2 linked regions of the Coturnix japonica genome follow. The protein of the gene in region 1 purifies or fractionates together with the protein of each later gene. This does not show direct contact. Links are inferred from orthologs where the notes say so. Each region holds a gene or a part of one and is shown in the gene's direction. Other genes may lie near its edges. The genes, in order: CEBPA and MRTO4.

The links.
Region 2: the proteins of CEBPA (region 1) and MRTO4 purify together in Homo sapiens (affinity purification with mass spectrometry; 3 studies listed by BioGRID and IntAct, with this or other methods). This does not show direct contact. The link is inferred for Coturnix japonica from reciprocal best matches to the Homo sapiens genes CEBPA and MRTO4.

What each region holds. Positions count from the first base shown.
Region 1 is NC_029526.1:8,911,410-8,915,840, reverse strand, and holds CEBPA (CCAAT/enhancer-binding protein alpha), read left to right. Parts: upstream 1-1,360; 5' UTR 1,361-1,778; coding exon 1,779-2,753; 3' UTR 2,754-3,888; downstream 3,889-4,431. UniProt on the Homo sapiens protein: Transcription factor that coordinates proliferation arrest and the differentiation of myeloid progenitors, adipocytes, hepatocytes, and cells of the lung and the placenta.
Region 2 is NC_029536.1:4,063,754-4,068,207, forward strand, and holds MRTO4 (mRNA turnover protein 4 homolog), read left to right. Parts: upstream 1-1,421; 5' UTR 1,422-1,518; coding exon 1,519-1,546; intron 1,547-2,098; coding exon 2,099-2,157; intron 2,158-2,224; coding exon 2,225-2,328; intron 2,329-2,420; coding exon 2,421-2,502; intron 2,503-2,629; coding exon 2,630-2,697; intron 2,698-2,848; coding exon 2,849-3,000; intron 3,001-3,247; coding exon 3,248-3,324; intron 3,325-3,455; coding exon 3,456-3,626; 3' UTR 3,627-3,780; downstream 3,781-4,454. Other genes in the region: EMC1 (ER membrane protein complex subunit 1), read right to left, coding at 33-159, 293-421, 599-692, 778-843, 1,115-1,239, 1,311-1,411; AKR7A2 (aflatoxin B1 aldehyde reductase member 2), read right to left, coding at 4,271-4,432. UniProt on the Homo sapiens protein: Component of the ribosome assembly machinery. Nuclear paralog of the ribosomal protein P0, it binds pre-60S subunits at an early stage of assembly in the nucleolus, and is replaced by P0 in cytoplasmic pre-60S subunits and mature 80S ribosomes.

The sequences.
Region 1 (4,431 bases):
ACCTGTGTAGTTGGTTGTATGGGTTGGGCTCTGTGATCTCTTCAGGACCTTCCTGACCCCTGCAGTTCTGTGATGCTGTGATTTCTGCTCACATTGAAGCATCCCAGATTTCTGTCACAGGTCAGGGGATTTTATTCTCTATCAGAACTTTGGAGCTCTTCCATATGGGCACTTTGCTTGATCAGGCAGTGCATACCCTTTGTACCCACTGTTATGTGCTGAAACCAAAGTATATCATAATTTCAGAAGATACCATATATAAAAAGCAGTTAGGATTTATCTTTTCTGTTGACATTGAAAGGTGAAAAGTATGTTCATAAATCATAGATTCTGTGTGTTCTGTATTCTATATGGATGTTTCCCACGAGACACTCACAGCAGGCTGTGCTGGCTGCACCTCACGTCTGTGGCTCACGTGTGTGACCCCAAAGGTGGCTCTTGGTTCGTGGTGGTTTTGTTCCTAAGGCTTTGCCAGTCACTGTGAATTGCAAGGAACTCTGAGCAAGCAGTCTGATATCACAAGCTTCTGGTTCATTCAGCCCTCCAGGACTAAGAAATGTGGCAATTCTTTCTGTAGCCATAGCCATACTGGAGTTTTCTCTGCCGATCTCCCTCGCTCTCCCCTGCTTCACTGCCCTCGGTGCGTCCCTCCTTCCACTGTGCTGCTTTCCGAGCGGCCCGGCCCAGCGGATCTAAGGGCCGGCAGTTGGGGTCGGCAGGTCCGGCTGGACGGGGAGGCGGCAGCTCCGTGCCCCGAATCCGTCCCGTGCAGGGAGCGCGGGTCCCTCGGGCCGCGTGTCTCCCAGCAGCTGCTCGGGCCGGACTCGGAGCTGAGCCCCGGCGTTTCGCCTTCCGAGCGGCACGCTCGGGTTTATCTCGGGTAAACGCCGGGAGCCGGTCCACGCCCGACACAGCCCGAGATTGCGGTGTTTGCATTTGGGGAAATCCGTGATTAAATTTACCTGCCCGATTCGCGCCGCGGGACGGGACGGGACGGAGATGCAGCCCCGTGCGTTCATCCCCCACCGCCCGCGCACGGTGGGAGCCGTGGGACAGCGGCAGCGCGTCCCGGCCCGGCTCTGCCCACGGCCCCGTCCCGCAGCGCCGAGCCCCGCAGCCCCGCCCCGCAGGGCGCGCTCCCGGTCGGGTCCCAGCGCCGCTCGGGGCCGCGCTCCGCGGGTCCCCACGGGGCTCAGCTGGTGAACCCAGCGCGTCGAACCGGGCCGAGCTCCGGTAACTCCGCTGGGACGGCGCCTTGGGCCCCGGGGGCGGGCACCGTGCGCCATCCAGCCCGGCGTAATGGTTCGCGCGTAATGGTGAGCTGCGGGGCTGCTCCCCGGTGGAACGGGATCGGGCGCTGCGGGCTCCGAGCCCCCAGAGCGGGGGGGCGGGCGGAGCACAGGGACCGGGCAGGGCTCGGTGAGAGCGGAGCTCCCGAGGGAGGGCGGACGGCCGGGCCGGGGCGCTAAGACCCGGGGCGCGGTGGTCAGAGGTTCCCAGCAGGACACTAGAGGGCGATCCCCGGCCCTGCTGCGGGGGTGTATATATACGGCACGCAGGACCGAGGCAACCCACTAGGAACGGGACAGGCAGGCAGGCGGCGAGCGGGGCTCGGGCGGGCTGGGGCGGGGGACGGGCTCCGGGCGCGCCGAGCGGAGCCGCTTCGAGCCGAGCCGGGGGAGCGCGGGGTGCTGCGGGCTTGGCAGAGCCGCCGCCGCCCCGTCCGAACCCTGGATTGCCGGAGCCCTTCACCATGCCCGGCAGGCTGTAGGTGCTTCATGGAGCAAGCCAACTTCTACGAGGTCGATTCCCGGCCCCCGATGAGCAGCGGCCAGCACCACCAGCTCCAGACTCCCCTGCCCGGCAGCGCCTACGGCTACAGAGAGGCTCCCTCGGCGGCGGCACCTGCTGCGGGCGGCGCGGAGCTCGGCGACATCTGCGAGAACGAGCACTCCATCGACATCAGCGCCTACATCGACCCCGCCGCCTTCAACGACGAGTTCCTGGCCGACCTCTTCCAGCACAGCAAGCAGCAGGAGAAGCACAAGGCCGTCCTGGCCGGGGATTTCGATTTCCACAGCATGCACGGGGCCGGCGCGGCCGCCTCGGCTCCGGGGCACCACCCGCAGCACCAGCAGCAGCCGCTGTTCGGCTGCGCGGCCGGCTACATGGACGGCAAGCTCGACCCGCTGTACGAGCGCATCGCCGCGCCGGGTCTGCGGCCGCTGGTCATCAAGCAGGAGCCCCGCGAGGAGGAGGAGGTGAAGGCGGCGGCCCTGGCGGCCCTCTACCCGCACCCGCAGCAGCACCCGTCCCACCTGCAGTACCAGATCGCCCACTGCGCTCAGACCACCGTGCACCTGCAGCCCGGGCACCCCACGCCGCCCCCCACGCCCGTGCCCAGCCCGCACCACCCGCACCATCCGCACCCCCCGGGCGCGTTGCCCGCCGCCCCCGGCGCCCTCAAGATGATGCCCGCCGACCACCGCGGCAAATCCAAAAAGACAGTGGACAAGAACAGCAACGAGTACCGAGTGCGCCGGGAGCGCAACAACATCGCGGTGCGCAAGAGCCGGGACAAGGCCAAGCAGCGCAACCTGGAGACGCAGCAGAAGGTGCTGGAGCTCACCACCGACAACGAGCGGCTGCGGAAGCGGGTGGAGCAGCTCAGCCGGGAGCTGGAGACTCTGCGGGGCATCTTCAGGCAGCTGCCCGAGAGCTCGCTGGTGAAGGCCATGGGCAGCTGCGCTTAGCCGGGCCCTCCCGCTGCTCCGGGCGGTCCGAGCGGTGCCGGAGCGGGCTCAGATTGTGGGGGGTGGGCTAGTTTGTTTTCCCTTTTTTTTTTTTTTTTTTGTTTCTTTTTTTTTTCTCCCCGACAATAATGACCAATAAAAGAAGCCAGGCAGCTGTAGTATTACCAGGTCGGTGCCTTAGGGTTGACACACGAATAAGCTGAAAAACGTGGTGGGTTTTGTAAGGAGAAAGGAGAGGGGAAGGAAGAGATTAAACAAAAAAGCCCACGTGTCTACACAGGGTAAATGACAATAATAATAGTAACAGTAATAAAGCACATAGAGCAGCCCAGATGTGCCTTAAAGCTGCCTGCAGGAGGTCCGTGCCCTCAGCCCGCCGAGGAAGGAGCGCGGGGACGTGCGGGCTGCGGGGCCGGAACGGGGACGGCGGCGGATGCGGAACGGCAGCGGAACCGGGACCGTCAGCGGGACGGGACGAGCCGAGCGACGGACATCGGGACCCACGGCCAGCCGGGTTCGCGGACAGCCCGTCCCGGCAGCCGGACAGTAGGGCCGAGGGCGGCCCGGCGGAGCTCCCTGCGCCGACGGGGAGAGCGGCGGCGATTCGTACTGTATGTCACGACATGGCGAAGCACAAGTGAATAAATACCTATCGATGCGGGTATTTACTACGAACTCTCAGCGTATTTTGCTTTCTCCCAGGACATTCAGCTCCTCTCCGCGTCTGTGTCTGCCCAAGCTGTGCCTCATGTAATGTGAAAGCCTTTCCGTGTATACTAGCTACACTATTTTTATCGCGTTACTTAGATCTTTGCCATCACACCACTTTCTTATCTGGTGACAGAGACTATGCCCTCGTGCTGCAACGTTATTTTATTATTTGTGTGGGTGGGTGGGTGAGTGCGAGCTGCGCTGCTGCGGGCGGCCGCGGCCCCGTCCGGCCGGGGGCAGCGGGAGGGCAGCGCGGGTGCGTGCGGGGCGCGTGTGCGGCGTGCGTGTGCGGTGGGAACGTGGACGTATATGCACACATCGGTGTTCTGTTTTTGTTTTTTATAATTCGGGAGGGGACCGCATATACAGTTTTGTCGGATAGTCCTGGTTACATTCATAATAAACAGCATATACTCTGCCATCACCGCCCGCTGCGTGTTCCAGTGCTCGTCCCGGGGCCGGCCGGCTCTGAGCCCCTTTCGGCACCGCGGCCCGGGCCGCCGATCGCTCCCGTTTGCCCCGTTCGTGCGACGCCTTCGGGAGGCGGCGGTGTGTCTGTGTCTGTGTCTGTGTCTGTGTCTGTGTCTGTGTCTGTGTCTGTGTCTGTGTCTGTGCCGCGTGCAGGTGCGATCCCGCCGGGCGCTGCGGGGCCGGGGCGGAGGGAGCGACCGGGTGGGACGCGACGGCGTCGGGACACGCGGAGACGCCGCGCGGCCGCTCGCGGTGCCGGACCCCGCCCCTCCCCCGGGGAGTTTCGCCCCGGCCGGGCACACGGACGCCGCTCCGGGGCTCGACGCGGCACGACCCTCCCCCCTCTCCTTCCCCCCCGGGGTAACGGCTACCACGAGGCACCGGGCAGCTCGACCGCCGGCCCGAAAGGACGACCCCGCCCCGCCTCGGCGCGCCCGGGGTCGGGTTCGGGGCCGCAGCACGAGGGGAGGCGGCTCGAGCGGCAGCTGCGATAGGG
Region 2 (4,454 bases), on another chromosome or scaffold:
GCCACATTGGATCCACAATCGAGCACAACTACCTGTTCTATGACTTCTCCATCCTCCACACTGAGCGTTAACACCTTCAGATGGCTCTGGGGGACAACTCCGAGCACATGGATCACTCCAGCCCCACGGGAATACAACATCTGGTATCGAGTATCCTCACTGTGCGAGAAACAAAGGGCACGAGGCATCGTTTGCTCGTCTTATTGCTTCCAAAGCTTTTCAAGGACATGAAGCATCCTGAGTTGGGCTGTGAGTCTGAACTTTCTTTCTTCAGCTCCAAATACATCCTCACCTTTCAGGCAGCTGTTCCACCCACTTCTGGTGCCCGTTGGACAGGTAGTGCAGGGAGATGGCCGCCTTCTTCAGCACTGCCACGTACTTCACCGCGTCCTGCAGCCCCACCAGACTCGCGGCCTGGAAACTGAGCACAGGTCAGAGATGGTTGATTAGAGAATGATCTGTGGGCTCTCAAACAGGGGGAGCTGTTGGATACAACCATCCAGATTTTCAAAGCCTGATGTCCAAACTGCTGTACTGCAGACAAGGTACGTTAAGCTTACTAACTAAATACTGACTTATCCCTGGTGCCCAGCGCTACCTGCCCGTGTCCAGCGACGTCTCCCAGTTCAGCCCTCCGATGTTGGTCTCCCAGGAGCGCAGGATGCGCCCGGCGCTGGATACGGTGATGGCATCTACACAGGGAGCAAAGGGAGCTGAGCCCAGAGCCAGGGCATCCAACACGGGGAGCAGAGCAGCTGCTGTGTGTGATGTGCTCACCTTGACCATGGATCAGCATCGCGTCGATGGCTCCTTCAGGGCCGGCCTTGTCTGCATGGCGCCACACTGAGACACAGAGCGAGAAGGAGATGGGCACAATGAGGATGTTGCTGACTGCTCTCAAACCCACGGCCCTGGGACCTCCCAAAGAGCCTCACTGCAAAGAGCCATGTCCTCACTGCAAAGAGCCATGTCCTCACTGCGGGAGCTGCAGCTTGGATTTCAGGGCCAACATCCCCCTGAAGGAGCACTGATAACTGGCACACATAGGCTTGGTGTCACCCTCATAGTGGATATACAGCACTGTGGGCTGTGACCCACACCCCGCCCCACTCACGGATGTCTCCGCTGCGGGAGTTGAGCGCAGCCACCACGTTCTTCTCGGTTCCCACCAGCAGCTTCTTGGAGCCCTGCGAGGCCTCCAGCGAGGCGAACTTCAGCTTCCCCACGTACTGCTGCCTCCTGCGGGGACGGGCAGCGTTACACGGACACGAGCCGTGGGTTTAGCCCCGCATTGACAGCCCGGCACTCACCAGTCGAACTTCCCCACTTGATCCTCGTACACGGCGGCCGCCAGCGGCAGCAGCAGCACCCACAGCCCGGCCGCCATGACAGCGCCGGGACCTCCCCGCATCACGGGGCTGCCCTGCGCTGCGCCTGAACGGGGAGGCACCGAGCGGGGCAGCCCGCACATCCCCAGCAGCACCCGCGGTGCCGGGGGGCCTCGAAGCACGGGGAGCCATGCCGAAATCCAAGCGGGACCGTAAGGGTGAGTGAGCGGCTCATGTCGCGGCGTTCCGTCCTCCCCTTCCCCATTAACCATTCAGGGGGATGGAGCACCTCCCCTATGAGGACAGGCTGAGCGAGTTGGGTTTGTTCAGCCTGGAGAAGAGAAGGTTGCGGGGTGACCTCATTGCAGCCTTTCAGTACATGAAGGGAATCTACATCCATGAGGGGATTAAGCTCTTGGAAAGGGCTGACAATAGCAGGACACGGGGAAATGGTTTTAAGCTTAAAAAGAGGGAAGATTTTAGGTGGATGTTAGGGGGAAGCTCTTTCACTAGAGATGGTTTAGGCCTGAACAGGCTGCCCAGGCAGGTTGTGGATGCCCCGTCCTTGGAGGTGTTCAAGGCCAGGTTGGACGGGGCCATGGGCAACCTGATCTATGGGGTCTCTATGGGGTCTATGGGGTCTCCTGGGCAACCTGATCTAGTAAAGGTGTATGTTTGGTGGCCCTGCCAGGCAGGGGGGTTGGAACTACACGATCCTTGAGGTCCCTTCCAACCCGGGTCATTCTGTGAACCACGTCCCCTCCCCGCAGTGTCCCTGACGCGGACGCCTAAGAAGGGACTGGAGGCCAAACAAGCGCTGATCACGGAGGTGAGTCGTGCCCAGTGCGCGCTGCCCCGCTCCACCCCATTAGGCCCCGCTAACCGCTGTCGTGCAGCTGCGGCGATGCGTGGACACCTACAAACACATCTTCATCTTCTCCGTGGCCAACATGAGGAACAACAAGCTGAAGGACGTGAGGAACGCATGGAAACACAGCAGGTGAGCAACGGGATGGGGAGTGATGGAGAGGGGTCAACCCCATCATCATCACCATCATCATCATCATCATCTTCCTCTTGGTTGAATTGTAGGATCTTCTTCGGGAAGAACAAAGTGATGATGGTGGCGCTGGGCCGGGAGCCAAGCAGCGAATACAGGGAGAACTTACACAAGGTGGGAGGGAACTCGGTTAGAAACAACCGGCACAGCTGTCCGTAGGGGGGGGTTCATCCATGGAGGTGATGAGGGCATTTCCAGCCTTAACTCTGAGTCTCAGCACCTCTGGGCTCCTTTATCACAGGTCAGCGAGCACCTGAGGGGTGAAGTTGGTCTCCTCTTCACCAATCGCACCAAAGAGGAGGTGGATGAGTAAGTATGTGTGTGTGACCGAGCTCATCGCAGCTCATTGTAAGTCCAAAATGCACAACAGGCTGTTCCTCACCTGCTCTGTCATAAAATACCCCCAACCCCCAGCAACCTGCACAGTGCCTCCATTCCTGTGTGTGCTCATCTCCCTCAGGTGGTTCTCCAACTTCAGGAAGGTGGATTTTGCACGAGCAGGGAACAAGGCGACCTACACAGTCAGTCTGGACATGGGGCCCTTGGAGCAATTTCCCCACTCCATGGAGCCTCAGCTGCGGCAGCTGGGATTGCCAACAGCTCTGAAGAAAGGTACACGGTGTGAGGGAGCTGCTTCCCTTTCTCTTCCATTGTGCCTATGCAGTCTGTTAAAAAGAACATTCTGTAGGCATTTAGGGTTGAGTTTTGGAGCAAAGCTGGTGCTCAAAGCCTTATTTTCTTCCTGTTGCACCACCTGGCTGCTGCCATAGGACGGGAGGCAGCCTTGTGCCCTCCTGCAGTGCTGATCCACTAACAAGCCAGATTATGGGGTTTTCTTCCCCTGCTTTTGTTCCTGCAGGAGTGGTGACGCTGCTTTCAGATTATGAAGTCTGCAAAGAAGGGGATATTCTGACCCCCGAGCAAGCGCGGGTCCTGGTGAGCAATGGAACACAATGGAACACAGGCACTGGGACGTGCACTGTTCCATGTGGTTCTCACAGCAGCTCATCTAAGAGCTGCACTGTTACGATAACCAGGTGGGATGATGAGTCTGTGTCCTTTCCTAGAAACTCTTTGGCTACGAGATGGCAGAGTTCAAAGTGACCATCAAATTCCTGTGGAGTTCGGAGACGGGCGACTTTGAGAAGCTGGCGGGAGATGGGGAGGATGAGGAGGAAGAGGAGGAAGAAAAGGAAGAGGAGGAAGAAGAGGAGGACGCTGACATCAATGAGGACTAGCAGCAATCCTTGTGCTTGGACACTAAGCTCTATTTTAGAGCTGAAAGATGAGGATGTTTTCCTTCCCTGCCTACAGGAGGACACGATTAACTCATTATTCTTAAAGGTGATCTAACTCCACCATTTTTATATAAAAATATCTATAAAACCCTCAGATATTGTTGGTGCTGCCTGTTGACACTTGAGTGAGGAATGGGGGATCCATTTCAGGCCCAGATTGGCCTCCACATGTGGAGCCAGCACTGCCCTGCCCAGGGGTTCTACGTCATGAGGTTCAGTTTTAGCTCTGCGGGCATTTTAGCTCAGGTTTATTTCTGAGCACATTAAAGCTCTGCTATAAAGACACAGCGTCTGCATTAGAAAAAAAATGGTTTATTCTCATCCACGCTCAAGATTAGTTATTAACTGAGTGCAGATCTAAAGCCTTCCTTTGATTAAGTGCATTTTGAAATCACAGCATAGATCAAGGTCCCCAAGGGGAGACAGTGTAAGGCATGGCCCCACCTGTAGTGCTGGTAGCAGTAGTGTAGGCACAGGAATGGCTGACCCTACAAAGCTTCATTAATAGGACAAATCACAGCCATAGGGCAGTGTGGGTCAGTACCTCCTGCTCTGCTCCTCTGCTGGCACTTCCCTCTCTGTCTCTAGCGGAAGTAATTGGGGCAGTCGTGTGCAGTCAGATTCCAGGCTCTGTCAAACGCCTCCACCACAGGAGCAAGCAGCGGCCCCTCCTCGCTGTACTTCAGATTCTGCTCCAGCTGCTCCATGTTGGACATCCCAACGATCACAGCGTCTCCGAGAGAACCCTGTGAAGCCAGAAGGGGAATC